Astyanax mexicanus: one gene and its partners. The protein of the gene in region 1 interacts with the protein of each later gene in a pairwise test. Links are inferred from orthologs where the notes say so. Each region holds a gene or a part of one and is shown in the gene's direction. Other genes may lie near its edges.

Region 1 (8,163 bases):
ATGTAATTCTAATGATAGCCAATGCAAATCTTGACTTAATTCTAATTCTACGTGTTGACACCAATGCTAGATGTTGACGCTAATGCTAGGTGTTAATGTGTTTTCCCCTCAGGCTCTCAGCTCAGCTGTGGCTGTGGAAGCAGCTGCCTGGGTCCAATGACTTTCCACTCAGAAGCCAAGGGCCAGCTAGTGACCCTCAGTGAAGATGGCCGACGTGCAACCAGAGACACCTCGTCCTTCCGTCACGGCCTGATCTTCAGCAGCAGACCGCTGAGGGTGCAGGAGAAAGTGTGCGTGCGTATTGAGCGCTGTGTGATGGGCTGGCACGGCGCTCTCAGGGTTGGCTTCACCAGCGTCGCACCAGGGTCCAGAGCCGTGCCCTCACTGGCCATTCCTGAGCTAACAGACTTTCCTGGGTACTGGGCCATTCCAGTGCCTGAGCAGCAGTGCCTGCCAGGATCAGAGGTCATTTTCTGGATCGGTCCCAGTGGATCCCTGCATGTCCAGACAGCCGATGGGCAGAGGCACAGGATGAAAACCAGAGTGGACAAACACAAGCCGATCTGGGCCATGATTGACGTTTATGGGCAGACCAACACAGTCCTGTTACTTGGTCAGTTTACAAGTGTTTTAAATTAAATTAAGGATTTAGGGATTTATCACATAATAATGTGTTACATTTTGGTCAATAAGTTAATGCAGTTTGTTAATGCCTATGTTATGATATGATAATTCATTTGAGCTAAACGATAAATGACAAATCTTCATAGCTACCAGTCTTTAAATGTGTCTTTAAAAAATAATTATTCTAAAGATTCCCATGCATTTTCAGTGTTCAGCAACTGACAGTTTTTCTTGGTCCTGTTTTTTTTAAGGTTCAATGAAGAAATGCTTTTTCAGCACCCGCCGGTCGTGCCCTGTGCCCACAGTCGAACCTACAGAGGAGACCTGTGGCTACAGCAATGTGCCCATTGAGATTCTGGAGAGGATGATGAACCAGAACAGCCTAGAAGAGCAAGAGAATCGAAAGAATGACAATCTTTCCTGCTGTCAGAGCAACAGAAAAAGCACAGGTAAGAGCCTAAACATTTGGATCGAAAATAGTGTTAAATTTTCATATTTCAGTTATCCTGTTGGTAAACCAGTTCATTACACTTTTGACCTTTTAAAGTTTAATGGCTGGTCATAACATAGTTTCATAGTATCATAGCATTCACTTAGAAAGACTTGAATGCCAAAGAACCACCTGAAATACTGAACAATGAACTTGGAGATTATCTATGCAGTAATGTTAGTCTGTTGGTTTTAAAGTTCTTCTGTCAGTTTTATTAGTTCTTCGTGTTTTTAATAATATTTCGTATGGGGTATCATAGCAGCGACCTAAGAATGGCTAGAGCAGTACCAGTTTTTCATTAGTTTTAATAAAGTAATTCTAGGTTAACAGTTTTTTTCTCTTTTTATCTTCAGGTTATGAAAGTATGGAGGAATGTGTCGTGTGTTACTCAGACATTGCGGATGTGATGCTGACCTGTGGACATCGGTGTGTGTGCTCTCACTGTGCCTGGAGGGTCCTCAGCGAGTTTGGAACATGTCCTCTGTGTCGGTATCGCTTGCGTCCAATCGACTCTGATGATTGCACATAGCTGAGAGTGAGGGAAATGGAGGACAGATTGAATGTATCATAAATGGTCTTTTATATTGACCAGAGCAAATAGTCCAGATTATGTTTCAATAAAACTTTTTTCTACATTGACTTTCAGTGTAAATTAGGAAAAGTTAATGTTTCTGCTGTAAAGTTGCTGTATTGGACATATGAGGGTTTGTTCATGATTGCACATAAAACTCTGTATTTCAGAACTATAGTTCTCTGCTTAATGCACTTTTAAACCTTTGCAGGAGAAACCACTACAAAAAAGGAAAAAAAGAATGTTAAAACGTACTAAGGCACTGCACTACTATATTTCAAATAAGCTTGTAAATGTTTTTTTCTGTCTGTTTTTTTGTACGTAATGTGTAATTATTATATATGTGTATTGTATATATTTATGTTTTAATGTACTAAAGCACTGAATGAACTTTAAGCTGTGTACTGTCATAATTTACAGTATTACCACACATTAACACTAGGTGTCAGTGGTTTGTCACCCGTCTGTAACAGCAGGTTTAATCCTGTTTGAGAGAAACTGTGACTAAAGCTCTGACGGGTTCAGAATCAGACATGCATACATCACAGATTCAGAGAAGAAATCAGAGAAGTTATGAAATGTTCTGACGTGCTGTATGAGATGTGCCCAGGATGGGTTTGTGAATAAGAATGATGTCACGGTCTTTCCCAACCTATAGTATATTACAGCCTACAGATTGATTTACTTTCTGTTTGTTTAGAGAACAAAACATCTTATTTTTTGACTAAATGTAGAACATTGGGACAAATTAGGTATTAAGAGAACACAATTCACATATACATACATATGTTTTAGAGGCATATTTTGTTTGGTTTTACTAAGCGTTACAGTTTTTTTCTAAGCACAATTATGAATGGGTTTTACTTGTCTCTAGAAAATTACATGTAAATGTGCACACAAAATAATTTAATTTCATTATTAAGAATAGCGTCTTGTACATTGACCTAATTGCAAAAGTAAGACGTAATTAAAAAAAATAATAATAACACTGAAAAATAGCATTTGTTACCTGTCCCCACTCTCTAACTATAAACTTTACTAAAAAATATAATGATTAAAATCCCATCCATGCTTTAGATTTTTTTTTCCATTTATTTATTATTTGTTCATTTTTAAAATACACATTTTGGGAAAATCACTAGAATGTCCTCATAGTCCTCATGCTATTAGCATAGCCACCATTTAGCTATTTCTCATGTTTTTGCTATGTCTATGCTAAAAACACATTCCTGTTACTTTCAGTCCTGTTACTCAAAACATAAAAAGTAACAGAAGTGAGTGCCAGTAACAGGACTGAGTGCTGTTACTGGAGACCTGTTACTGGAACTCACTTCAAATAATTGATATTTGAACATCAAATAATTGATGTTCAAATATCAATTATTTGAACATGCAGTCAACCATTTCTTTAAAATAAAGACTTTCTTGAGAGAAAATCAAAGTAATTAGTGGACTTCCTTTTTAAATGTCACATGATTTTTGGTAACAGGACTGAGAAAAATGTAACCATCTTCATCTTAAAAAAACTTGTAATAAATTAAGTAAAGCTGCCTGAGATTGACCAGTATCATGTACCAGTACCATGTTTTGAAAAGTTTGAAAGATTCAGTTGAGAAAAGAGAAAAATGAATGTGAATGAAGCTAAAAGGCTAAAAACACAAATGAAAAATAGTACCTAATTGCTTGGCCAAATTATTCCTTTAATTTATAAAGTAGAATATAAAAACTCAAAGAATAAATACCTATATATTTCAGTTTTATTTATTTATTTATTTATTTATTTTTGCAGTAAACAGATTTTAGGCAGTAAAGAAGTTACTGCTGCTCTGAGCTAACTGGTTGTGCTAATGCTGGAGTTACAGTCAGAACTCCTTTAAAATGTTTATAACTAAAGTTTAAAAGCTTAAAAAGTAGTTGTCCCATGCTGAAACATGTGGTATTGTTCTGTGTTGAGGAAATTGAAAAAAAATATCAAACATTTATAAACTCATTTATAAACTGATTTTGCGCAATTCCTCCATATGAAGCCATTCATTTTGGACTAATTCCGGAGCGCCCTCGCGCCCTCTGGTGGTCAAACAAACAAACCTGAAAGAGATTCTAAAGTAGGTTTTCTCTCTATTACAGATTCTCAGGATGGACAGGTATACTTGGACACATTTAGTAATAACGTATTATAATAATAATAGTAATAATAATAGAAACTGATATATAATAATAATTCAACTATTTTGTTTTATTTAAGCAATTAAACTAATGAATTAACTTAACCAGGCTGTACACGGTTAGGGCTCATCCTCAATTGGTAAGAGAAAGGTTTTTTATATAATTGAAAATTCGTGTTAATAAAAAAATGCATAGTTTTTATGCTTATTATTGAGTGTTATTGACTTTTTCACTTTAGTTATTTTTTGTTTTCAAATAAATGATGTGTTGCCATTTGAACTTGGCCCTGACGAATGAATGACCAGTTTCTGGCTCAGTGTTCATCTGAAAGTCATCTTACCTTTTTCACACAGTCATCATATATATCACCTGCCTTCCTGTGACACTAATATCCTCTCTCAAAACATATTTGTACATCCAGCATGAACAGAAAATTTATTTTTCTTACTATTGATTTTTATTGAAAGAGTCTGAAAGAGCTATAAAGCTATTATTATAAAGCTAATATATGTAGCCATGAGTCTAGAAATGCTCTACTGTTGTGGCTATTTTTTTTCCTTTTTACATTTTAAAATGTTATCTGTTTTGTGTCTTTTCAATAAATATTTTTTAAATAGCCATAACAACTGTCATAAAAACTATATGTTTTTATGTGTTTCCTGAAAGGCAAAATTTTAGGAAGGTGTTGATATGAAGACGCTGGAGAATGAAAACAGTGGAACAGAAGTTGAACAGCAGAGGGAAGCAGATCCAAGTTAATAAAGTAGTCTGACACCCGGAGACTGGAGTAAACTACTGGTAAACCCTTATAACGTTATTACTGTAAAATAAACGGACTTACTGATAACTACGAATGTTTTAAGATTAAATAAATCTGTATATTCACACTAAAGCTTCAGTTTTATATATGTGATTAGGAGGAGTGAGTTAGAGAAAGGGGGATGAGAGAAAGAGAGAGAGAGAGAGAGAGAGAGAGAGAGAGATGACCTTTAGTAGTTGATTACGCAGCTGAGCTGTTAAATATTTATTTTGGATGGCGAATGGAGAGAGACAGAGAAAGAGAGAGAGAGAGAGAGAGAGAGAGAGAGAGAGAGAGAGAGAGAGCATCAAGCCATCAAGATTCAAAATATAGCAAAGCAAAATATCAAAACAAGTATATGTGACAGAGAGAGAGAGAGAGAGAGAGAGAGAGAGAGAGAGAGAGAGAGAGAGAGAGAGAGAGAGAGAGAGAGAGAGAGAGACTAGTGTTGAGAGTTACATGACACAGTTTGGACTGCCCATTACCCAATGGAATAACCACCATAGACATTCAGCCAAACTTCAGTCATCTACACTGTGAGTATACAGAGTCTTTTTGGTGGCTGCTGTCATCCAATCATAAACCATTGTTTTCTATTAAATATAATTACATTTATATTCTGCCTACATTTTGGAAAACACTGACAAAATATGACATTATGGTCTGTTTTCCTCTAACCAGCCTTTGCCTCCAGCTTATAGTCGTTTTCTGTTTTTGAATAAATTATTTGTTGCCATTTGAACTTGGTCCTGATGGATGAATGGCCAGTTTCTGGCTCAGTGTTAATTTGAAAGTCATTTTACCTTTTCTCGCACATCATCATGCATCACTTGCCTTCCTGTGCCACTAAAATCTTCTAAAGTCTTTGTACATCCAGAATAAAAAACCCTTGTTCTTCACATAATAATAAGAAAAATTATGTGCTAGTTAAGACTTTCAGACTAATAAGGTCATTTGTTACGGCAACGTAGAGCTGCCAGCCATAGAAATATAATTTGACTCAGTAACATGTAATAACGTAAAAGGTTTCATATTATAACGTGATATTTATTACGTTATAACGTGATATCTATCACGTTATAACGTGATATCTATCACGTTATTTCGTGATACAAAACTATTATGTTATTTCATGATATGGTATTTTTACGTTATATTGTGAAATTATCATGTTATTTCGTGATAAGAAATTATCATGTTATTTCGAATTATGAAATGATCATGTTATTTTGTGATAAACATTTATCAAGTTGTTTCATGATATTTTAACGTTATAACGTGAAAACATCAATATGGTTTACTTTGATACACGGCCAAGCCAGCGCGCTTCCATTTCACTTCACGTCGCCTCCAGCTACAGTGCTCAACAACTGTAGAATTCCACCATGCCTTAAACCAAGCTTGAAATAGAACTGAATTAAGTCATGCAGACGAGCCATGTTCCTTCACTGAACCTGGTAAGTGTTGAAGTGCTGAATGGCCTAATATCATGATATAACATGATAAATGTTTAACATGAAATAACGTGATAGTTGCATATCTCAGAATAACGTGAAAGTTGCATATCATGAAATAACATGATAGTTCCTTATCTCGGAATAACGTGATAATTTCATATCACGAAATAACGTGATAATTTCTTGTTATAACGTGAAAATACCACATAATGAAATAACATGATAATTCCATATCATGAAATAACGTGATAAGTATCACATTATAACATGGTAAATTTCACGTTATAACATAAAACTTTTCACGTAATTACATGATACTGAGCCAAATATATATTAGGGCTTGGCAGCTCTGAGTTTCCGTAATTTGTAACAATATTCACAAAATATAGAATTTTTTAAACAAGTAATTTGTTTGCTTATTGCTTCTTCCAAATCTCAAAAACCCAAACTTTTTTTAGTGGTTCAAAACACATCATTACAGTTCTGCACTGATCTGTGGGATATGCTCATTGAATTTCTGCAAGAGTCTGTCTGTTTGTATGGACAGTTTAAGCCAGATGCTGCCATCACAATCATTACCAACCATTTCACTGTCAACGTATGCTGGTAATGTTCAGAAATGGAATGTCCCATCCATCTGGGACTCACTGTCAGTCCTCGCTTGAACTCTCTGAGCGTGCTGACCAGTGTTTAGCCTCATGATCAAGATAAAACCTCACAACTTTTACAGGTGTGGGCTTTCTCATGCCATCCCCTGAGGTAACGCTTAATGATCATTTTACTTACTTATTATCCCATGACTTGGATGGTCAGTGTGCTCAACATTTTTACAAGACAGCTTTACAAGATTTTAATCTAAGTCATTTTGGAATAGGTCTATTGGCCAATTATCATGATGAATTGTAGATTTAAATTATTTCAAGGAATAAAAAGGGAAAAATGGAGACACAAGGGTACAATACTGGTCAGTTTCTGTTGCATAAGTGAAAATTTTAATCTTTAAATGCTTAATGTAGCAATAAATTTGGCGGCATGGTGGCTTAGTGGTTAGCACGTTCGCCTCCCAGCACTGGGGTCTTGGGTTCAAGACCCTATCTGGGTGGAGTTTCCATGTTCTCCCCGTGTCTGCGTGGGTTTCTTCCGGGGACTCCGTTTTCCTCCAACAGGTAAATTAGATACTCTAAATTGCCCAGAAAAATGTTATACTCTAAATTGATTTGGTAAAATTGCATACTCTAAATTGCCCAGAAAATTGAATACTCTAAGTTGATCTGGTGTGTTAAGTGTGTGGTATGTATGTAAATGTATGTGTATGACAGTGACCAGATATGGATTGGCACTCTGTCCTGGGTAAAGGCTGTAGTGCCCAATGCTGTCCTCCAAGTGGATGGTCGTTTCTGGTTGAGAGTACGCTGTGCGCTATTGGCTGCCGCTCCTCACCGGTGTGTGGATGAGTATTAATGTGAAATGTGCTTGTGTGTAAAACGTGTTCATTGTAAAGCGTCCTTGGGTCTCTAGAAAGGTGTTATATAAGTTGAACATCATTCATAAATGTATCTATTTTGCTTTTAAGCTGCATTTAGATCAGATTCACTAGACTAGAATTATGTTAAACTATGATAGTCTTTAGATACACTGTTTTAAGTATTGTGGTAGATAATTGTGACTGAAGTTTAGTCAAATAAACCCTAACTACAAACTTTTTAGTTAGCTGGAGCGGAAACATCTTAACATGTATAAATATTTGAACATAGAATCCTTTTTTGAATCTTGTCATTGGTTTATTCTTCAGTTCATCTTTTATTACTGAAGCTCTAGTTCCCAGGCCCTCAGCAGTGCTGACTTGGCCTGTTTTGTTCAGCTGATGAGGTTCCTAGGCGAGGCCACGTTTACACAAGAACCCACGTTATGTAACCAACCTTTCCTGAGAAGGCTCTTCCTCCATCAGGTGCAAAGTACCTGTTAGCTGAGTGCTCTGTCCTGCTCTTATCTGCTGGAGTAGAGAAGGATGGGTCTCGTGTTGTTTACACAGAAGTGACTTCCATTCCTTCAAGCT
Region 2 (7,935 bases), on another chromosome or scaffold:
AATTATTTTTGTAAAGGCTGAAAAAAAGCTAAAAAAGTTAGCTTTGACTTAAACTGAACACACTCAAGAATGCTGGTGGGTGTCACATGTTTGGCACCTGGTCTGAAACTACATTTTCAGCAGTTAATGAACATGCTAATGCACAATCTTTGCTCTGTGCTTAGCTAATGATTTAGTTCTTCTATCTCTGTGGGAAGAATATACCAGCGACTGCCTTTCTTTAATTCCACTTCTTTTTCCACTGCTGGTAGACATCCAGCATTTATATATGTACTTATTCTGTCTTTTAGTTAATATTTTTAGTGTGCATAATTACATGCATAAAAAGAAGCGCACAATTTGTATTATATTGCATCATACCACAGTAGTGTGTCAGTTTTAAAGATACCTCTGAGTATGTGTAATGGCCATTCTAGAGGAGCAGGAAGCAGGTGCAGAGAAAAGTCAAAGAGACAAAAGAAGTCAAAATCACAGTCATGAACTCCACTGTGGAGATTCATATCATTAGTAAAGGCAAAGCCTGGAAACAGTCCAAAAAGAAAATGGCTCAGAATGCTAAAGGTATCATGCAACTTAGAATGTGCAAAGAACGAGTTTTCTAGAGATTTTTAAATACTAAGTCATGGAGACTGAGCGCTGTAGCTGGAGGTTAGGAGGTCAGTGGTAAGAAGTGATGCTAGGCTGAATAGAGGGCTGCCTGATTCTATGTACTGAAATACTGTGAAGTCCTGTAACAGAAAATATGAAGAATATGAAAACATATTACAAAACTTACCAGACTTTAATCAGGTAATTTTAAGACACGATAAAATGATTTGGGCCAACAAAATCTATTTATTGAGTGTTTTATTTTTGATGTATTAACAGGTAAACAGTTCCCATTAGTTACATAGCATAGCATCACATTCCTATATTTTTTGCACTGTAACAAAAACAGAGTAATACATCAGCACATTTGTTTACTCAGTTGGTCACATTAAAAAAATGTCCCCTTGCTAAAAAGACATGTAAGCTCTATTCCATGGAGTTAATATAAATAAAATAACTTTGATAGGCCGTTGTTTTGCATGATTTTTATGAATTGTAATGTGAGCTGGCTGCATGAAACACATTTTTTAATAATGTAATAAAATACTGAGAGACAAAAATTCTGTTCTTTGATTACATTATTTTACATACACTGGTTCTGATTCTCTTTACTTGTACATAATTATATAAACTGGATAACTGATACAAATATAATAATATACAGGTGCTGGTCAACGAATTAGAATAATTTGAAATAGTGCAATCATGAAATTCTTTGAATGCATTTTTTTGTGCAGAAAGCAAATCAGGTGTTCACCGCACCTGTCCTACTCCTTAGACTAATCACAGAACTCGTTACCTGGAAAAAAATTTGCTCAGCTGAGCTTTCCAAAAGGCCCATTTAGGCCATTTAACTGTGACACTGTTGTTTTATTGAATTAGAATAATGGAGAAACCGTTTCATTGAATAAGAATAATTTTTATTATAATTACAATCATCACTTTCTCAGTATTTTGTGGCTGCCCCCTTGGCTTGTATGACTGCTTGAAGTCTCCGCGGCATCGATTTGACCAGCTTGTCGCAAGTTTCCGCACTCACAGCTTCCCAGGCAGTGGCGATGTTCTGCTTCAGTTGGTCCAGCGTAGTAGGCTTTCTGTCGCGAATTTTCCGCTTGACGATGGCCCAAAGGTTTTCAATGACATTGAGGTCAGGCGAGTTGGCCGGCCATGCCAAAACTTCAAGCTGTTTTTTAGTGAACCAATCTTTGGTCGACTTTGCCGCATGAGCCGGTGCAAGATCCTGTTGAAATATGAAGTCTTCTTCGCCGAACTGTTCCTCAACAGTCGGAATCAGGAACGTTTCCAGAACATCTTGATATACGGCAGCATTGACAGTCTTCTTGAGGAAGCAGAGTTTCCCTACACCTCGAGCGGACATGCATCCCCAGACCATAACGCTCTGGGGAAACTTGACGGATCTTTTCACGCACTCGTGGTTGTAGGTTTCGCCACCACGACGCCAGACACGAGGACCTTGGTCACCGAAGGAGATGCAGAAGCGTGATTCGTCACTGAAGACCACTTTCTGCCAGTCTTCAGCAGTCCACTCGCCGTGTTCTTTGGCCCACTTCAGCAGTTTCTCCATTTGTTTCTTGTTCAGCATCGGTTTTACTGCTGGAACGCGAGATTTGAAGCCGAGTTCGCGCAGAAGACGGTAAGTGGTTGATCTGGAGACGTCAGCGCCGGTCTGCTTGTTCCACAAGTCGGTGAGCTCGGAAGTGGACTTGAACCGGTTGCTGACTGCAATCTTTCTCAGCTGCTTGTTGTCGTGAGCAGAAGTTTTTCGGACGCCGGAACAGTTGGTGCGCTTGCTGCAGTTTTTCTTGAGAGCTTTGCAGACGGAAGACTGGCTGATGCCGAGCTGCTCAGCAATTTTAGTTTGGGTCAAGCCTTGTTGGCGAAGGGCTTGAATTTGAGCCACTATTCCGGTTGAGAGGTCGCGCTGCTTACCCATGATTGATTTTACAACTTAGAAATTCTACTCAACCCTGACTTTATACTGCACAGTGAACACTCTTCACAGAAAACAAAAATTCGAGCATTTATTCTAATTCAATGAAACGGTTTCTCCATTATTCTAATTCAATAAAACAACAGTGTCACAGTTAAATGGCCTAAATGGGCCTTTTGGAAAGCTCAGCTGAGCAAATTTTTTTCCAGGTAACGAGTTCTGTGATTAGTCTAACGAGTAGGACAGGTGCAGTGAACACCTGATTTGCTTTCTGCACAAAAAATGCATTCAAAGAATTTCATGATTGCACTATTTCAAATTATTCTAATTCGTTGACCAGCACCTGTATTTAACGAATATCACTTTTTTCAGGGTAGTGATGCTGGTCCACCATCATGGATGAGCTGGCCAACCAACATGCTGGTCATACTGGTGGTCTAGCTTGGTCAGGTTGTCCATGCTTGTAGACCACCTAAACCATCAAACTAAAATTAAAACGCTACTATTCTGGTGAAGAACTAAATTTGGTCAACATGAGGTGATCAGGCTATTTTTTTGGCTGGGTAGTATTCAGCTATTAACATTTTCAGATATTTTATAGCCTGTGTTTTTAAGAGCCCAAACCCAGTTCTTAATATTGATTGAAAATCTTAAAGTAATTCTTCAAATTAATATGTTAATATTTTAAGTTAAACTCTTGATGTAACAACAATGGTTAAACATAAGTACAACAATTTCATACCTTCTAGTTTACCATTTTGTTTTATATATAGTAGTTATGTGGATTGTAAAACATTAAATTGAAGATTTTGGGAAAATGCTTAAAACAGAGCTGTTGAGGCTAAAATACACTTTTAAATAGATGAAGTGTGATCTGAAGCATTAACACAGCACATCTACATTCTAGAAATAATAATGTTCAGTGTGTGCTACTTAGGGGCTTCATGAGTTTGAGTTGATATATTTATATATATATATATATATATATATATATATATATATATATATATATATATATATATATATATATATATATATATATATATAAATTTCAAGGTTTCTTCCCATTTTCACCCCAATTAACCCGGCCAGTTATCCAACTCACTCATTAGGACTTCCCCTATCACTAGTGATACACCAACAGGGGCTTCATGAGTTTAAATGAAGGACAGTGCGCTTTAGGGAACTTCACACAGACTTTTAAAAGGTCTGTGGCTATTTTGGGTTGAGTGAAAATTGCATGTACACACCATATACAGTATAATACAGTGGTAAACACACATAACACGTGTACAGATTCTTTACAGCAGCTGATTGTCCAGTAATGAATAATTGCCCGCAAGGTGGCAGCAGAGGCGCGTGAGAACGTGTACTGTACATTTATTTATATTTTTAAAATTACGTCTTTTTAGTTTTACATTATTGTGTTGAATAATTGTATCGATACGTTGTTGTTTGTTGTCCTTCTGTGCGTCAAAGTAATTATTAAATCATAGACTTGAGTGTTGATATTAATTAGAATGAGGTGAAACCTGTTGTTGAATTCTGAGGTCTGACTTTACTAATCGAGTTAATAACGATACAATTGTAGCGTCATACTAGCTGACCTTACCTGTAGCGGTCATGTTTACTAGGTTAGTTAACTCTAAGTAGCTAATGTTTACTTTTATAGAGGAGCATTGTTCACCTGCAGTGAATAATTGTGTTGGTGAACAACAGGTGGTTTCAACACCATGTATTTTATCTTGGTTGTTCTTTTCTCTTTAACCAAACGCGTACACACCATAAAAAACAGGTTCTTTAGTGATAAATCTGCAGATGGTCCACTCCGCTCTGGTCTAGTGTGACCGGGGGCTGTGTCTGCCTGCCTGGGCTCAGCTTCGGCAGCAGTGATGTGTTGTGTCGAGTTGTGCTACCCATCAAAATGTGCTTCTTAATACCAGTGCGCATGCCCACATTTATTTTATAGTTCCATGTGTTTTGTGGTAGTTCTACTAAATTTTACCTGGGTGCATATTTAACATCCTTAACCCCTCCTCTGTCATTATGTCATTATTAGATTTTATCTAAGTGTAAATGGCATTAATAATAATAATAATAATAATAATAATAATAATAATAATAATAATAATAATAATCGAGCAAAAATTACAAGATATAATCTCGCCTATTCCCTTTTAACTGTATTCTGATTTTTGATTCAGGGTTATTAAATAAAGTGCTTTTTCAGGATTTTTTTTACAATTAAATATTAAATACACCATACCTGTCAAGTTTTGGATTGATGTTGTGATCAATAGTATTTTCTGCAGTCAGAAGGCGTATGTATAATATTATACATATGTACATAGTATGTATGAGTATGTATCATCATAGTATGATGTTTTTTTTTAGCAGAAATGCCCTTTCTCTGTTTGCATCCATCCATCCGTCATTAGTGACATTCCAGTTGTGAGAGGCACAGGAATGTTTTTTATTTTAATTATAATGTAATACAAGAAATTTACAGGAAATGCTAATACGGGAGGACGGCGGGAAAGAGGGGTTAAATGTGGTAGACCAAAACGGGATACTTAACAAGATATGAAATACACACGGGATAGCACGGTTTGACAGGGCAGCAGAAATCGACAGAACACCGGACGGAGCTGTTAGGAGCCTTGTTAACTAAACTATACTGTGGGGTGGCGTGTGTTTGTGTGTGAGAGAGAGTGTGCTCTGAGTGAGTCTCTGTCAGTGTGTGTGTGAGTGTGTGTAAGCTGCGGGTGGAGACTGCCATGGTTCACAGGGAGCCCGCCCAGCCTCAGCCTCACTGCTGGCTGCTGGAGTGACCCGCCCGCCTGCCAGCAGCAGCAGCAGCAGAGCAACGTGTCACCGCCTCGGTCCGCTCCGGACCCACAGCCCGAACTCACACACAGCGGCTCCGCGGAGAAGCGCTGCTGCGGAACTGACGCTCCAGAAAAAAGTAGCCACGCGAAGAAAAGCCTGAGCCACCGCTTTTGAGAGGTGAGTGGTGGGTTTCTGAAGTAACAGAGAAGACTACAAATCTGTTAAATATAACGTTAATGGGTTCAACAGTTAGTTTACCTAGTATGGCTTCGTTTGTTTATTGTTATTCTTGGTCGTTCCTACTCAAAATAGTCAATGAAAACAGACCAGAAATAGAAAAGTGGTCCTTTCAGTCTGACAAGCTTGTTTTTATAGAAACTGAAAAACAGAAACAAGCCGCTGTTTATTATATTTTAGCTAAGTTACCTAGCTATGTAACATTATCTATCATGCAGTCTTCTCTTAGCTCTTTATTGAATAACTACAGCTCTGGAAAAAATAAAGAGTCCACTTTAGTTTCTGAATCAGTTCCGCTGATTTTGCTTTTTATAGGTATATGTTTAAGTAAAATGAACATTGTTGTTATATTCTATAAACTACACAACTACAGACAACATTTCTCCCAAATTCCAAATAAGAACATTGTCATTTAGAGCATTTATTTGCAGAAAATGAAAAATGGGTGAAATAAAAAAGATGCAGAGCTTTCAGACCTCAGATAATACAAATGCAAGATAATGCAAAAAACAAGTTCATATTTAAAAAAAAATGTAAGAGTTCAGAAATCAATATTTGGTGGAATAACCCTGATAACAGTTTTCAGGCATCTTGGCATGTTCTCCTCCACCAGTCTTGCACACTGCTTTTGGATAACTTCAGATTGGTTGGTGATCACCCATCTTCCTCTTGATTATATTCCAAAGGTTCTTAATCATGATTAGTGGTCTCCTATTTTTTTCCAGAGCTGTAGTTTTGCTCTGAGGCATCAAACTAAATGTCCAATACAATGAGGCAATTAAGTGGTTCATCATAAGTAATAAAAATATGTATATGTGCTAGACTGTGTCAAGAAGTAACCTGTATGTAGCTGTTTATATTCTTAATATATGCTATATTTGTTTTTAGTCATTGCCTTGTGCAGTTAGACCACTTTTGAATAGAATAACCATGATAAAGCAGTGGTTCTCATTACACTATACTTACATAGTGTAAGTAATATAAGTTAGGGCTCTGTAATATTGTACATTTAATCTCATTATTCTTCAAACATATGAGCGATTATGATTTAGATTTTTAGTTCTTACATATCTTTGGTTTTTTAGTTTGTAAACAAACAGCACCATTTAAAGTGATATACAATGTGGTGTTTTCTTTACATTTATTTTAACCATGTTTGTTATCTTTTTTTTCATTATCATTCATGATAAATAGTAAGCAGCCCCCTATTGAACACAGTGCAAACATAACATGCTTGTATTTCAGTTAAAGAAAAGTGTAACATTTGAAAATCACTGCCACATAAAAGCAAATTTCTATGTGAAGATGTACAGTCTCTATTATCTCATTTTTAAAAATAAGAAACAATAATTCAGTGCATTAAATTGATTTGATTTACCTCCTAGTCCTATTCTAGGTACTATACGTTGTTTTTTCCCAAACTCCAACCTCTGCCACACTGACCTATTTATGTCCACTTGCAGCTCTGCCCCTCAGCAGCCTGCTATGCTTTGCTCATGTGGTTTAGTGGTTAGTGGTCTTTTGGGGTCTGTGTGAAGGATGTGCAGCATAAACACAACAATACTGGAGACAAAGAATTGCCTCAAGTGCTAAATAGTCTTTTCCACTTCGAATATTTTCAGCTGTGCATAAGACAGTTCATGCCTTTCGGCTGCTCCATCTTCACAGTTGGACTAAAAATAATCCAAACATCCTAAAGAGGGCTTCAAGTGCAGTGTGCTTTAAAAATCAAGTGGTCCTATTGGTGGGGGTTAAAATAACTGTTATTACAAAGGAGGTGAGAAGGTGTTATTAGCAATGGGGTCTAATAGTCAAATAGTCAAAGGTCCACATGGTGTTTGAATATAATCGATTTGATTTGACCATTTTCAGTTCTACTAGATTGGACTGGCATAAATGAATATATATGTGTATGTGTGCAATGTAGTTGTACACATTGTACAAATTAGCGAAAACGCATCTAAATATTGTCACATAAGGTGACATGTGAGAGACCCTCTTAAAAATTAAGAGATGTAACCTATTGGTGGTACAGTACTGCATATAGATATTGTATTAAACCCAAACTGACTTGTCTTAAATTTAGGAATGCACACAGCACCTGAAATTATTTGTATGAAAATGGCATATCCAAACACTAAAAATGACTTTCAATGTTTGGATGTATTATCGTGAAAAAACAATCAAAGCAATAATGCTTTCTTTAAAAAAGAAAACAAGACAAAAATACATTAAGGCTATTCAATGTATGCAATGGTAAAATTAATCAATAATGAAAGCCTGCAAAAAACATTTTCTGTATTCTGTATTAAGCCTCTGGAAAATGTTTA
Region 3 (8,174 bases), about 19 Mb from region 1:
GAGTACAAAAAAGTACTCATATCGTACCTCTGTTTTTTTTTTTTTTTTAGAGTGAATGTAACCCTATAATCTGTCCATACAGCATTTTCTAGTGGATGAATTAATGCTCTTGACACTGAATGCAATCAAATCCTTACAGCAATCCTCTAAAATCTATTAAAAAGCCTTTTTTCCTGGGTAGTAGGGACAGTTATTCCAGCAAAAGAAGATTATATTTTATGTAAAAACGTTAAAAACTTGAGCCCTGTGTTTTAAAATGTAACTTATTAGCCTTTTAGCAGTGAATCCGTATCACTTAGTTTTTATTTTTCTTTGATTGGATGAAAACATTGAAGCATTGCTCAGAGGCTGTTCTGTTCCCGGACAGATATTTTGGCCATAATATGATATGCTTGTTTTTTTTTTTGCAAAGGAATGAATCTAAGTTTGGTTTGAAGGCAGATTTCCTAGCAACGACACTGTTTGTTTATTTGTGCTGAATAAAAATAGTGAAAACTATTATTTCAGGTAATTTTGGAGAATGCCTATTGGTCCATTTATCAAGAAACACAGTGACACAGTGTAAAGTGGTAGAGAAAAATGCTGATACTTTTTATTATTATTATTATTATTATTATTAGACAGCAACAACATATATGTGTTTTAGTTTGTTCTATGTGTTTATTGTATCATTTTTGGAACAAAAAGCTCCAAAACTAGCTTTTTACATATATGAATAAAGATATTATGCCCATTAAAAAGTTTGGCCACCCCTTATAATATTTTTAATGCTTGTTATGAAGAAAACAGCCATAAAAAGTTTTAACAAAATATTAAACTGGTATTAAAATGGTAATATAGTGGTTATTGTACCGTTCTAACATAAAAAAAAAATAATAATTTTACATTTGAGGAAAGACCCAGCACCCAAATAATACATATACAGTATATACAGCTCTGGAATAATAATAATAATAATAAAATAAGAGAGCCCTTTAAAATGATGAGTTTCTTTGATTTTACCAAAACTAAAACCTCTGGAATATAATAATCAAGAGGAAGATGGATGATCACAAGCCATCAAACCACCAAACTGAACTGCTTGAATGTTTTTGTGCACCAGGAGTAAAGCAGCATAAAGTTATCCAAAAGCAGTGTGTAAGACTGGTGGAGGAGAACATGATGCTAAGATGCATGAAAAAGAACTATTTGAGGTCTTTTTTTCAGCCATTTCTCATTTTCTGCTCATAAATAAACGCTCTAAATGATAATATTATAATATTTTTAATCGGAAATTTGGGAGAAATGTCTGTAGTTTAGCATTTTTTAATAAAACATATACTTATAATTTAGAAACAGATGCTTTCGCTTTCACGTGTCACTCAAAGCACATCCTGTACTCATTCTGTCTCTCACTCTCTGTTGTTTTGGTAACATTTCCAGCGAAATTCCATAGAAATATGAACTGTCATCATTTCCATAATTCCCATCCATCATTCCTACTCATCCATTCATCAGCTGTTCTCAGTGTTTACTGTTTTTCGTCGTTATTTCTCTGTCCGGGGAGGCTGTTTTTCAGGCCTTCCTGTTCAGGCTTGCTGACAAAAGCGGTAAAAGTTGAGTTTTTGATCCCCCCCTTCCTCCAGGAATGTGTGACACACACACACACACACACACACAGACACATAGAAACACACACACACACACAAAGGCATGCGCACGTTCTGAGCCGAAATGAAAGAGCACAAACACAAACACCATGGGGGAATTAGCAGGAAAAGAGAGAAACATTCCAGGCATGCTTGAGCCTCGTGAAGGACACACACACGGCCTTGTGCCCCTACCTTCCTCCAGGCTCACACACACACACACACACACACACACACACACACACACACACACACACACACACACACACACACACAGATAGACACACCACCCCCAGGCCTGAGCACATGCATCCATTGAGAGATAATCTGGGAGGGGGGGCTCATTAACAGCCGAGGAATCAGAATGCAGAACAGAATGCGCTCTACAGTAGAGGTGGGCGATACCGGGAATTTTAGTATCGATCCGATACCAAGGTAATACAGGGCCAGTATTGCCGATATCGATACCGATACCAATACTAATACTTTTTCATATTTAAGCATTAAAGATCAAAAGGATTCAAAAGACCTAGGACTAAGAATAAAATTTCAGAATAAAAGTCACAGTCACACGCTCTCCTACTGTCAGTAACAGTAACAGTACTGCCTCATCCCTCTGCACTCTTCCCATCAGCGAGGAAGGGGAGAGCTGCATCAGCTTATCAGAGAGAGAGAGAGAGACTGAGAGAGAGAGAGAGAGACTGAGAGAGAGAGAGAGAGAGAGACTGAGAGAGAGAGAGAGTGGCGGATAACAGTAAATGCATTGTGTAAGAGCTGTTCCTGTGAAGAGTGCTTTAGAATAACAATCGTACAGCTAAAGCCCTCTGGGTCAACGCTCTCTCTCTCTCTCTCTCTCTCTCTCTCTCTCTCTCTTTTCTCTCTCTAACAGTCATTAGCTTTATTTCTAGGAAATCCTGCTTCCTGATGTTCCACTACAGTTCACCGGACATGTTTCCCCAACAGCTCTTCACCCTCTGAACGGAATGTTTTTTTCTTCTCTAGTTCTTGCTAATATTGATTTTTATCATGATTTTTTTCAGCACTTATACTTAAACTTAGAGCGTTTTTCTACCGATGTGGAATCTGCACCGTTCTGCACCGAATTCAGCACCCCCGCCAGGAAAAGCACCCTTTCTCGGAGCGTATTTTTAAGTAAAGTTAAAGCGCTTTCATCAAGAAGAGAGGGTGCTTTTCATGGCGGGGGGGCAGATTTCAACACTACTATTCACTACTACTAAAGGGAATGACAACAGGCACACTGATTGGTTTAATTTTTGATAATGATTAATTAAGAGAATTAGTTTATGCCTTTTGCGCATTTTGAGCTGCGCAAGACGTATTTTTGGCACCATCACGATACCAAAGACACCAATGACACACCCTTAATCCAGCTGCGTGATCCGCAATCGATTGGTGCGCCATAGATCGCTAAAATAGGGCCCTTGGCCTTCCTTTCCTGGGGCATTCCTGATGAGTGCCAGTTTCTCCATTCACTTGGGCTTGTTACTCTTCTTAGTTCTTTTGCTGAACATTTTAAAGACATTTTAATTTGCAAACACCTAAACGCTCCGTATCACATGATAAGCATAAGGATACCTAATAAATCTGCCTTGCTTTAAGTCAGCAGATAATTACTCCATTCTTACTGAGATTCTTACTGAGTTACAGCACAGAGAACACAAGCTGGAAAAAAAGGAAAGAGCCTGACCTGCAGGAACAACAGTCTAGTACATCTTTCACACAGGTTTTCTCCAAAGCCTGTGCTGCCATCTAGTGCCTGAATCACTGTTCTACAGAAAAATCTGTTTCTGATCAAAGATTTTCCTTCTGAAAATGATGGTTCGGTTTCTTAGACAGGGATTAAGCCTAGTGTTGGACTGCATAACATTTTAAATACATATTTTTCATTAGAAGGAAAAATATTTATAATATTTAGTTTAGTTAAAAGATAGTGTCATAACACAGATATTTATTACAGAGATATTGACTAAAATTAATTCATGGTTTTTTGAAGATTTAAATTCCATAAAATTCAAAAAAGTATTCAGGCCCCTTTACCCTGAATTCTACCGTCAGAAGTCACTGAATTATTTTTTTATTATATTTGAGTCCAGCTGTCTGTAATTTAGTCTCAGTATAAATATAAACACCTGGGGCCTCATGCACTAAAGGTGCGTATGCACAAAAACATAGCGTACGCCATATTTGTACGCAAGTTTTTTTGTACGTATGTTTCTAATGTGTTTTTGTCATTTGGCGACACTTAGAGGCGATGCATTGAAATTACAACTATTAAGATATCCTTTACACACATTGTAGTAAGCTATTATTAGGTAAAATAAAGTCAATTAATGAGACAGTTTCAACGTTCAACGTGTTTCCACTTAGCCTTGATTATATAAACATGAATAAAATGTTGAGCTGGAGTTGTTGGAGATGGCAGCGTTGGCATTATTGGAAGGTATTGAATTGGAAGGGGTATGAATACTTTTGCAAGCCACTGTATATATAATTAGATCATAATGTTTGAATGATACAGAAAAAAAGGATCTCAGCCACAGGGGGGCAGTAGAACTGCTTTTTATTTGGCTAAACGTTTGATTTCATGATTCTTTATTGATTATTGTGATGTAAACTGCATCTACAGAACAGCTGATCTCCAGATTTACTTTCAGAAGGATATGTGTGAATATCTGTGAACAGTTGGATACAGTGCATGTTGTGCAAATGCTGTAGATAGTACTAATTAAAATATATTTAAATATGATCAAAACTTGAGTTACACCACCCTTGTAAAAAAGTTGTATATTTAAATATAACGAATATAGCGAACCACAATAATGTGTGAAATAATGAAAACAAGTTCATACTCATTTAGTAACAACGATACTAAAGGTTTATCTAAGGAAAAGAATCAATAATTTGGTGGAATAACCCAGATTATTATTTCTCAAAATTCTGACCATCTATCCTTCTCTTGATTACATTCCATAGTTTTTTTTAATTGTATTTATATTTGTAATTTGGGAGAAATGTCATTAGTCATTTTTTTATAGAATAAAACAACAAGGTTAATTTTACTCAAACATAAACCTATAAACAGCAAAATCAGAGAAACTAATAATTATAAAATGGTGGTCTCTTATTTTTTCCAGAGCTGTATCTCAGTAGCACTTAAGTAAAGCATGAAAATAATACTCCAGTAGATACAGATACAGTATTTTATTACTTAAGTACAGTAACTTCTCCTTTAGACAGTGTTTTACGTGCTAACTTGCTTACCTGGCTGTTTACACCTGTTCAGCTCTAGTGCTAGAGCAGATCCACACATGCCCCGCCTCCTATTCTAATCCCGCTCCTTCCATTGGCTGGTCTCTCTGCACCTGTTTGCCACTTCATCCAATCACGCTGGGGAAGCACCGTCCCAAGATGGCGGCGTCCATCGCGAAGTATCATTCTCTTACTTTCTGCTGGTAAATATAGAGATTTAAAGCGCTGTGGAGCGCGGTAAACCGCGGTAAAGCGCTGCGAGAGGCTGTAACAGGCCGCGGGGGAGCGGGGGGAGCCCGGCCGCGGTGTTTATCCGCCGGGGGCTGATGTATTTCTCCGGCTGAGGGTTCAGAGCTCAGCCCGGGTCTCCGGCCATGGCCACCGAAAACAAACTCCAGTTCTGGAGGAGGAACGCTAAGGGTCCCGGCAGGTGAGCGGAGCGGGTTCTTCTGGTGTTCTTTGGGGGTTTATACGGGTTTATTTTTCTTGTTTAAGTCGTTTAGCACCTGTAGCACCTGGGTATTTCAGCTCTGCTTAGAGTTACTGAGCTGCTACTGAACTCAGAGCAGTGCTTATCTCTCTTATCTGTCTGCTGGTTAACTAACCTAACGTACAACTAACCTAATCTAACCTGACCTCAGTTCAGTCTGAAGCTCTGAGTATATCTACAGTAAATCTATATATATTTAAAGATTCATTTTTTAGATTTTACCAAATTGAAAACCTCTGGAATATAATAATCAAGAGGAAGATGAATGATCACAAGCTATCAAACCACCAAACTGAACTGCTTGAATTAATTTTTGCACCAGGAGTAAAGCAGCATAAAGTTATCCAAAAGCAGTGTGTAAGACTGGTGGAGGAGAAGAACATGATGCCAAGATGCATAAAAAAAACTGTGATTAAAAACCACAAGGGTTATTCCACCAAATATTGATTATTTCTGAACTCTTAAAACTTTATGAATATGAACTTGTTGTTTTCTTTGCCTTATTATTTAAAGTCTAAAAGCTCTGCATCTTTTTTTTTGTTATTTCAGCCATTTATCATTTTCTGCAAATAAATGCTCTGAATGACAGTGTTTTTAGTTGGAATTTGTGAGAAATGTTGTTTGTAGTTTATAGAATAAAACAACAATGTTCGTTTTACTGTGGAGAAGTTGCAGGTCGAGCTGGGCAACATATCGATATATGTATATATTTTTTTTGTATTGTGATCCTGTTAAGTACGGATTTACTTACGGAAACCTTTAAGGTGAAATCATGAAAAAAAAAATAATAAAAATGTATGGCCATGACTTCTTATTAGGCTAAACTACACAAGAATCTTATTTAAAACCACTGTTTACAACCCATGCGTAGGGAATTTCCTGGAGTCGCAATTTTAAATTTAAGTCACAATAAGTCAACCGTTGAGCACAAACGAATAATAAAACATTTTGACCAATGTTTATGTAATTTGTTGTTGGTTCCGTGCATTCTAAGATCAACAGTAACCAGATTTAACCAGTTTTTCAGCAACAGCTGGAATTCATGCATTTCCAATGAATTTTGGGATCATTTATATATTATAGGGTTTATTCTAACTAAAATAATGTCCCTAAATAAAATATTTTATTTGAGTTTTATACAGTTTTTTTTTTAAGCTGACATTATATTACTGTGTATGATACAACATGGTACACTCCTATTATTAGTAGTTTTAATATTAAAGCCAACTTTCTCAGACACATACATCAAAAATACTGGCTTTAGAATCTATTTAGTCTGGAAAATCTTCTTGTTTCTATATATTCAAGGTGTTCATATCAGAGTGTCATACTATCAGAGTTACACTGCCGTTTCTGATAAGAGTCAGTCAGAGTGAGTTGGGACTTTGTGAAAAGTTTGCAGGATGTTTTATATTAATGTAAGAACTGATTTTAGTTGTTCCCGTCACTCGGAGGAACGATTGAGTTGATGTAGTTCCGCTGGAGGTGGTGATCGCAGTGACTTGCAGTCAGAAAGTGTGATCTGATGGAAGATTAAACTCTGTGGGTTTTTCTATTGTCTGACTCAGCTTTTCTTAAAGGGGAAGTTCTAACTGCCACACTGATCTACTGACACTTGAGCAGTCAGATGCTTCCTGTGATGGAAGATTTAATAATTCTACATTTTCTGCAGTTTTTAAAGCTATGTTCAATTTTTTTTAGTCATTCTGCCTTTAAATGGCTTCATACTATTTACTACAGGTGCACCAAGGCCTGTGTTGACTTATATAGACATAATATATGGATATGATTTCAGTGTAAATCAGACTGTAGTCTGTGTTTAGAGTGTTAAAACAAGTTACGTGGTAAGAACTGCTAGCTAATACCGCCCTGGTTTACCAAAACACTCAGGGTCCCTCAGTGTAGCGCTACCGGCCGGCGTTTACTAGGCTAATGCTAATGCTAGTGCTCCAGCCTTAGCGCTTTATTCACCCTATATAAACAGTTTTTAGGAGAAAAATCTGTGTAGATTAACATCCAGCGCTCGTTTAATGTGTTTTTTTTTTTTTTAAGAATTACACTTTTGTTTACTTAGTTTAGCTAGTTTACTTAACTTAGTTAACCTACATCCCCACCACTACCACCACCACCACCACCCCTGTTCCTTCCTAGTGTCACATAATGCGCTTTATTTTCTGGTGCGCCTTATGTATTAAAACGGACCAGAAAAAAAAGACGTTAATTGATAGGGAGCCTTATAGTACGAAAAATACAGTATTGTTATTTATTATTTATTTATTTATTTATTTTTATTTTTTTCTTAGTGAGGAGAGCTCATAAGTGTATTATGAGTTGATGATAACTTTGTTCAACAAGGGCATTGTTACATTATTGATGTTTTAGTTATTAAGAATATTTAAACATAATTTAAATATTAAAATCTCAATGACTGAATATATTTTTAATATGTAAAAAAAAAATTCTTGCTCTTTAAAAAGGTGCAACTGCATTCCTATGCTCTTGTTTTTATTTAATCAGTGGAATGAAATGTAAGTGTAAATGTAAATGGCCTTAAAATGACAGTAATGTTGTTTATCGGAATATTTTCTGGAACAATATATCATTATAAAATTTCTGTAACAGGCATATGTGACATAATGAGACAAATGCCAGATAAATGATATTTAAAGCAAAAAAAAGTGTGTTAACAGCCTACAGCACATGTTTTGGTTAACGCGCCCTGTGTGAATGAAGGTATGGTGTGTGTAACTCAGGTGTTTGTGTGGAGGGATTTGTCAGCTTATGAA
Region 4 (7,446 bases), on another chromosome or scaffold:
GTGAAACTATACTCACACTTTGAGGACCTCCTTCCCAAGTGCTCGTTGTCCACCGTGTCACTGGACCACTCCACCTTTTTCTCAGTCTTCCTTTTTCGAAGCTTGATGGTCAAACTTCTTCCCTCCTGTGTAACACAGACAATCCATGAAGAAATTCATACATAGACTAGCACTGCACGTTATTGGAAAACACTGAAAGAATGTCTTTTTCTGCTATATATCCTGAGACATTAATAACGCAGAAAGAAATCTAAAGTCACCAGATTTTAATGTTCTAACATTATAATAGTTATATCCACTATGTGTACCTAAAATTAAAGCTAAATAAGTTTAGCATCATGCTATGCAAGTGAAGAAATTTTTTTTTCTGCATACCCCTTTCCTGCAGATTGTTCTATTTCTCCTCTAAGCCTGCATTTCTCAACCCTAGTCCTGTGGGTCCATCTGACCTGGAAAAGCACCAAAATGTGCAACGCAGCGGGCCTTAAGCATTATCTGATCCAACAAGTCATATCAACTGTTGATATAGGTGGATGGTCACACTCTCCCTAGCTTCTCTAAATCTGTAATAATCGTTTGTGTGGAGGTGAAAACAATTTAACATTTCATATCTGAGAAATCTCTGATAAAAAAGTGGATCTAAAAACTTCAGTTATAAAGATGACAAAGTGAGGATTTTGTAACTAAAAATGAGTAGAGCCAAAAAAACTGAAATTAGGATGTGACCTCAAGACTTCATCACCCAGCTTCTAATTCCAGCAACTGACTGAAACGCCCAAGGCACATAGAGATCAAGCCCAGCTGTGTGCTTGCATATGCAAAGCAACGGCTGCAGCCAAAAACTCATATAATAAATTTAAAATTAGAGAAAATAAATTGTATCTTTTGAAAAATCATTTAAATATTGTGATGTATTTTAACTAGGAATGCACAGTGCAAATAAAATATATATATATTTTATATATATATATATATATATATATATATATATATATATATATATGTGTGTGCCCAATATTTCAAACCTATACTTGCTGACATATTTATTGTATTACAGAAATGGACCAAGCGATGCTGGCTGCACTACTACAACTGACAAACACTGGCCAAGCTACTTAAAAATACATAAAATCTATCTAAACTTAAAAAAAAAAAAGAAAAAAAAAAGAAATAAAAAGGTATACCAGAGTGTCTAGTCTCTGTAAGTTATAAGTGCGTATATCGCCATCGACCCAGAATTACCCACATCTGTGCATCCCTAATATTATCCATACAGTCCAGTCCTACCACAATATCAAATCAAATTCTGAAACCCCTAATATTCATTACAGTTTGTTTAAAATGTGGCTTTAAGCATATTTTTAATTCTGTTTTATTGTACTTCCCTACCTTTGAAAACAACTTTATTTCGCTGAAACAGAAAGTAAGCATCACACTGTGCTATTTAAGATGATCTTAGGAAAACAGGGTTTGTTTGCTTAAAATGTTATCAGTCATGCACATCTGAACTTCAAAAAAAAGTACCTTTTTTTGTGATCTACAAAATAAAAATGATTCTAATTCTAGTGCGGACGGCTCAATAGAGCCAAACCATAAATCAAAAAGCAGATACAGCAAAACCCAGCTGTCTACTGAAGGCATTGACTGCATTAGCAAAGAAGAAGAACCACCCACGTAAACAGACCAGGTGTGGGAGGATTTCTTCACAAAGTGACAAATTATGGTAGTGCTGATACAGGCTGACCGCAAATAAGAAACACAAAAAACTAATGTCCTGATCAGAGAAAAAATATTTAAAAATTATAAAAAGGTAGGACACACAGGTGGGGAACAATGAAGGAGAACACTCCAAAACGTAGCTGAGCGAATGTCCTCTACTGCCACATCATTCTTAAAGGCCTTATGAAAATAAGCCTCAAAAACCATGAGTGATTTTTGTGTAGGTTAATATATATTTTAAATGCATTTATTTATAGCTTGTTGTCTCCACAGATTTTATGCAGAGCAGTAGTCCTGCCTGCAAGACACTAATGAAACATTTTAATAAGTAAATGCTGGAATGAAACAGATTTGTGCAAGTTATTTTGTGTACTGGTATCTGCTTGTATATAAACATGGCTTTATTTTGTACTTTAGAAAGGCTGGGTCAGTAAGGCAAGTCAGGCTACTGAAGCAAACTGCTGACAACCAGCAGTGTCTGAATACCTTACTACCTTAATAAAACATCCTCTCCACGATTCTGCCTGACCTAGCAGTCATGGGGATCTATAATCTAGTCGGCACTGCCACTATATTTAGTGAGGCCATGAAATAGAGATCAGAATAAATCAATAAAAGCAGACAGGATTAAGAGAATTGAGATGTAGGCACACTAGACTAGAGTGAGGAGAGTTTGGGATGAATCTGACTGTTGTGTCTAGTGTGGGGTTTACTTTATTACCCCATGAGATTAAGACACTTTGTGTCTAAAATCTGCTTCTTATATTTTGCACTGGAGCTATGAGACTAAAGCCGGGATTAGTTTCTCAGGTGGTCCTGAGGTAATTTTCTCTTATATGGGGGTCCTCTGTGATTTTATTCCTGTCTGGAACAACCATGCAAGATTAGACAAAACATTGAACACACAACACAAAACCTCAGTGAGCAACATAGGCAACAAAAACTCCCTCAGAGCTGGAGGAGAAAGAAACTTTGGGAGGAATCAAAGCTCACATGTACCTTGTGCTATCACATGTGCTATCACGACTAATATATAGGTTGGGGTCCTAGCCTCCTCAAATTAAGGGCTTATGTTAAGAACAGCAAACAGAGACAATGTTTCAGGCTTATTAAGCCATCTAGGTTAGTTAACTAGCTGAACTACCTAGGCCAATCCAGTGGATCATGTCTGCAGGAACATCTTTAGCTATCTAGTTATGCTGATCTTAAATCTAATGATTTTCAAGCGATTTCACTGTCGCAGAGTCTTCCTAGAGGTGAGTTGCGGTCACATCATCTCAATGTTTAGTGTAAGGTTAGGATAGAAAGTTTTTAATTTTATTTTAAAACAAAGACAAATGTATAGCAGCTCACTTTAAAAATGTGAAAACTAGCTAAACATACCACATATCACAGAATTACACTAGGTAGTTATTAATCACAGCATTGAAATGAGTGTGGATTAGTGAAACAGTCTTATGAAGCGAGCTAACATATAACTTTACATATTATAAAACCACAGACAAGCAGCAAGTGTTTTCTTTATGGGGTCTTGCAATTAGATTAGTTAGCTAGCTAGATTAGCTAGCTAGCTAGTTACCTCAGCTATCATAACAACACAGATACTGGAGACTTTGCAGTGCGTTAAGCTAGCTAACCTAACCTATATTAGCTGTTATCTCTATGAGCATTTTTGCTGTATCATTCTGTGCCCCATAAAAGCGAGTCAACTCCTGCACAAGCTGTTTACTTTTGGAAAACTCAATCAATTAAAACATCAGTATTGCTAAACAGCACAATATTTTCAAAATGCAATTTTAAAACACGCTGGACTGCTCCTTTAATCTCCGGTACCCACCCCAGTTTGAAATTATGAAGTTAGGCTATCTATAGTTAAAGGACCAGGACACAGTCTGGTGTTGCCCAAAGCCCCTGAGCCGCAGTGTATAAACGTGCTGGATACGAGAGCGGTGATGATTACCTGCTGAGGCGGCGGAGGAGGCGCGGCCGTCGGCACCGTCTCCGTTATCGTCTCGCTGGACGGACCAGGGACCTCCGCCATGCTTACGGTGGCTCACGAAGCTAGCTTAGCTCCTCCTGTAAAACACACCGACCTCCCACACGCTGTGTACTGGCCGAGCTGTGTTTAGAGTCTAAACACACATAGAAAAAAACAGCAGACACAGAGACCTGGAGCGGCGGGCAGAGGCGCGGCTGTGGGGCGACGCTGCTCCCGGAGCTCAGCACAGGCCGGAGGAAACAATTCACAGACGGACCGACCCTTCCCTCCCTGTGCTCACTATAATATATCCGCCGGTGTTCCGTCGAGTTCTGCTCCCCTGTCAATCCGTGCTGCCCTAGTGTATGTTTAACTGTAAAATTATATTTTTATTACTTTTTTACACGGTTGTAACACTCAAGCAAACGATGACTGTGAGTCAAAAATTTACAATACATCCGGGAAAAAACCTACTGTATCAGGAAAATACTACAGGTGAGTAACCCAGGTCCAGAAAGTAAAATCCATCCCAGGGTTTTGTATCTGCAGCAGAGCCGCCCAGGCAGTTGGTACAAAGCTCTTGGTTGGATTTTTACTTTCTGGACCTGGGTTACCCACCTCTAAAAAAACCCACATGAAAACAGTAATAAATGAGAGTTTTGCGCATGCGCAGAGCCGCTAAGTAGCACAAATCGATGGGTAGCATAACTCGATAGAACACCCGGCCGGGGAGCCACTCCAGTCTGCCGCACTGAACTCAGCCTAAACACATCTAATTCTATATTTTCTGATTCATTATTAGGAGTCTGCGGGGCCGCTCCTGCGTTTCGGTTACATTCTCTCTCATGCAGCTTCCTGCTCTTATTACTGTCAGTGAATTTACGGAACACAGAGCAGCTTCCAACATGTCTGCGCCCTGATACTACATACAGCACACTGACTGAAGGTAACTCTGTCTTTACCTCTGATTCACTCTAATACACACACTCTAAAACACACAGCATCATATCTAAAACATGCCTTTATTATTTATATTCGCACAAGTATTTATTGTTGTTATTTATTTAAGTTTTTGGAAAAATAAATACACAAATAAAAATAATTACTGTGGGATAATTATTTATTTCCATGATTTCTCCCACACTTTTTAATTTGTGTATTTATTATCCAAATTATGTATTTATTGTGTGTATTTATTGTCCAAATGATTCCTTTTCAGATTCTTCACCCACAGTACTTATTAATTTGTGTATTTATTGTCCATAAACTGTAGTTATGCTTTCTACTTATTTGGATCACTACTGGTCAAAATATTTCTAGTTTGCCTTAATTTTCAAAATACAATTATGCAATTCACAGGTCTTACTTCTTTTTATATCTTTAGAAACCATACATATTAGATTTGGGCGATATAATATCACAATATTTTATTAAGTTTATTTTTGCGATAACATTATTCTTAGCTATATGACAAAACAAATTTAAATTTTGTTTGTAAATTCATTTCAATAATATACTACTGCAACAAAATAAATATTTAAAATGTTTTATTTAGTATAAATATAAGCTTTTTATACATTCAGTAGTAACAAAAAAAACTATAAACATTTGTCTAATGTTTCCTAAACAGTAACTTACCAAGACCCTGATTTTGTATAAAATAATAATACTGTAGCAAAAATAAAAAATGATCAAAAATAAAGTAATGTAACAACAAAAATCTACCTCTGAACTAATGTTCAGCATCTTAAAGTGCATACATTGCAAATACACCAGATATATACACAAGCGTATCACAAAATCACGATATGCAGTTTTTTTATTGTGTCAAAATGTTTGGTGATATTATTGTGTGCAATACGATATGGGATTACACTTTAATAGAAAGAAATACTTACCGTAAGATAACAGTCTCTGGCCATGTCTGGTTTAAAGACATTTTTGAATCTTTCATCACCACTGAATTGCATGAAGTGAATGTGTATATATATATATATATATATATATATATATATATATATATATATATATATATTGACCATGACAAAAGCATTTTTAAAGAATGTATCTTATTCTACTTTTTGTCAGCTTGATTGTTTCTAACAAAGCTATGTTCTTTCTTTGCTTATTAGGCAATGTGGAAGCTCACCTGTGGCAGATCCCTGGGGGCAGGTAGTAGAAGTGTTACCAGAGCTCGGAGAACATGGGGGCAAAGGTGCTGCTCTGCAGCAGCTCAGTCTCCACCTTCCTCCTCTTCAAAGCCTTTACATCCACAGAGAACTCAATCAGAAAAGGCAAAAAGGAAAAGAAAGAGAGAAGAAGCCATTCTTCACAGTGTATGTTACTTTCCCTGATAAATAATGTATTTGTATAGTTTAGCCCATATACATGACAGTGATAATATCTACTGTCTGTCTCATTGCAGAATGTGGATAACATTGGTATGAAATGGTCAGAAAAAGAGAAGATAACATACAGTGCTGCTGTCCTGCCTGGCAAGAAGAAAGGTACTGTGTGCTGTCTGTTGAAGTATGAAACATATGAAACATATGAAAAATATGTGTAGTACAAATAATGTCAACATGAAAAGGCATTAATACTATGATACAGTAAAACTATAGTTTACAATTCATAGTTATACATTGCATGTGTCATAAAAAAAAAAATATTTTTCAAAGATTAAAAAAAAAAATATGTGAAGCATAATCTGCTCAATTTAGTGGGTTTATTACAGCCTATTGAATTAAAAAGACCTTTAGGATAAACAAACAATGGAGCAGCCACACATGAATAAGGTTATTATGTCCAGTGCTAAGCACTAATAGAAAAGATAGCTTCAAAATGCAGTATACAGTGTTTAAAGTGTCCTTCCGCTAAAATTCACTTTTTCTTGTTCTTTGTGAAATACAGTAGGTTTCTCTGAGTTGTATAATCATGCTGAATATGAAACTCTTCCTCAGCCTCTATTGTCTGCAGTAGCTAGTAAAAGAAAATATTCAGAAAAACGAGTCAATCAGGAAAAGCACTGTGTCTACATCAAATCGAGAATTAGTATTCATGGCCTCGATCACCTTGGCATGCGACCGCCCACAAGAAGAGCTGATGACAGGCAGGCAGCCGGGCAGCGACACGTCTCGTCAGATAGGAGCTAACAGTTGTAGGAACAGCATGACAGTTCGTTCCTGTATTATTTGTGCAAATAACACATCAGTGTTTTATGCTTTGCCCATGAACAAATTATTAAAATGATTAAAATTTGTCTGTGGAACACCACCAGTGAAGTACAATTGAGATGAGGTAGGTGTATGTTTAGAACAGCTCTGTTTACAATAGTTAAAAGTACAAATCCAACTGCCTGGGTTGCTCTGCTGCGGCTCAGTCAAACAAAACTTTTTTTTTACTTCCTGGACCTGGACCACCCACCTCTGTGTGTGCGTAACTATAGGGTTACATAGGATCTCCGATGGATTTCACATTTTACAGAGACTAAGACTAGGTTGTTGGCTGAACAGGGCATTACATATGTTGCATGTAACATATGACATTACAAAGACTGTTATTAGTGTAAAAATTTCTTTATTTTAAAACGTTTCTATCTGTTGTTCTTCTCACTGCCTCACAGTGCTGTAAGCCAATCAGAGGTGATATGTTTGCATGTATGAATATTTATGAAAGCACTGAAATCAGAAAGCACTGAAATCCTATCTTTCTCCCCCCACATCTCCACCGGACTAAAGCAGCGCTATACC

Evidence for each region.
Region 2: the proteins of sorbs3 (region 1) and cpne2 interact in binary tests that used the Homo sapiens proteins (3 or more experiments, as listed by UniProt). The two-hybrid records come from large-scale screens. The link is inferred for Astyanax mexicanus from reciprocal best matches to the Homo sapiens genes SORBS3 and CPNE2.
Region 3: the proteins of sorbs3 (region 1) and tbc1d22b interact in binary tests that used the Homo sapiens proteins (3 or more experiments, as listed by UniProt). The link is inferred for Astyanax mexicanus from reciprocal best matches to the Homo sapiens genes SORBS3 and TBC1D22B.
Region 4: the proteins of sorbs3 (region 1) and vars2 interact in binary tests that used the Homo sapiens proteins (3 or more experiments, as listed by UniProt). The two-hybrid records come from large-scale screens. The link is inferred for Astyanax mexicanus from reciprocal best matches to the Homo sapiens genes SORBS3 and VARS2.

The regions. Positions count from the first base shown.
Region 1 is NC_064419.1:21,984,207-21,992,369, forward strand, and holds the start of sorbs3 (vinexin), read left to right. Parts: upstream 1-5,069; 5' UTR 5,070-5,186; intron 5,187-8,163. Other genes in the region: protein neuralized, read left to right, coding at 113-613, 876-1,073, 1,468-1,643. UniProt on the Homo sapiens protein: Vinexin alpha isoform promotes up-regulation of actin stress fiber formation. Vinexin beta isoform plays a role in cell spreading and enhances the activation of JNK/SAPK in response to EGF stimulation by using its third SH3 domain.
Region 2 is NC_064416.1:22,613,883-22,621,817, forward strand, and holds the start of cpne2 (copine-2), read left to right. Parts: upstream 1-4,801; 5' UTR 4,802-5,545; intron 5,546-7,935.
Region 3 is NC_064419.1:2,537,664-2,545,837, reverse strand, and holds the start of tbc1d22b (TBC1 domain family member 22B), read left to right. Parts: upstream 1-5,040; 5' UTR 5,041-5,272; coding exon 5,273-5,328; intron 5,329-8,174. UniProt on the Homo sapiens protein: May act as a GTPase-activating protein for Rab family protein(s).
Region 4 is NC_064410.1:37,645,805-37,653,250, reverse strand, and holds the start of vars2 (valine--tRNA ligase, mitochondrial), read left to right. Parts: upstream 1-4,312; 5' UTR 4,313-4,643; intron 4,644-5,829; 5' UTR 5,830-5,832; coding exon 5,833-6,033; intron 6,034-6,122; coding exon 6,123-6,204; intron 6,205-7,446. Other genes in the region: E3 ubiquitin-protein ligase PPP1R11, read right to left, coding at 17-125, 3,680-3,760. UniProt on the Homo sapiens protein: Catalyzes the attachment of valine to tRNA(Val) in a two-step reaction: valine is first activated by ATP to form Val-AMP and then transferred to the acceptor end of tRNA(Val).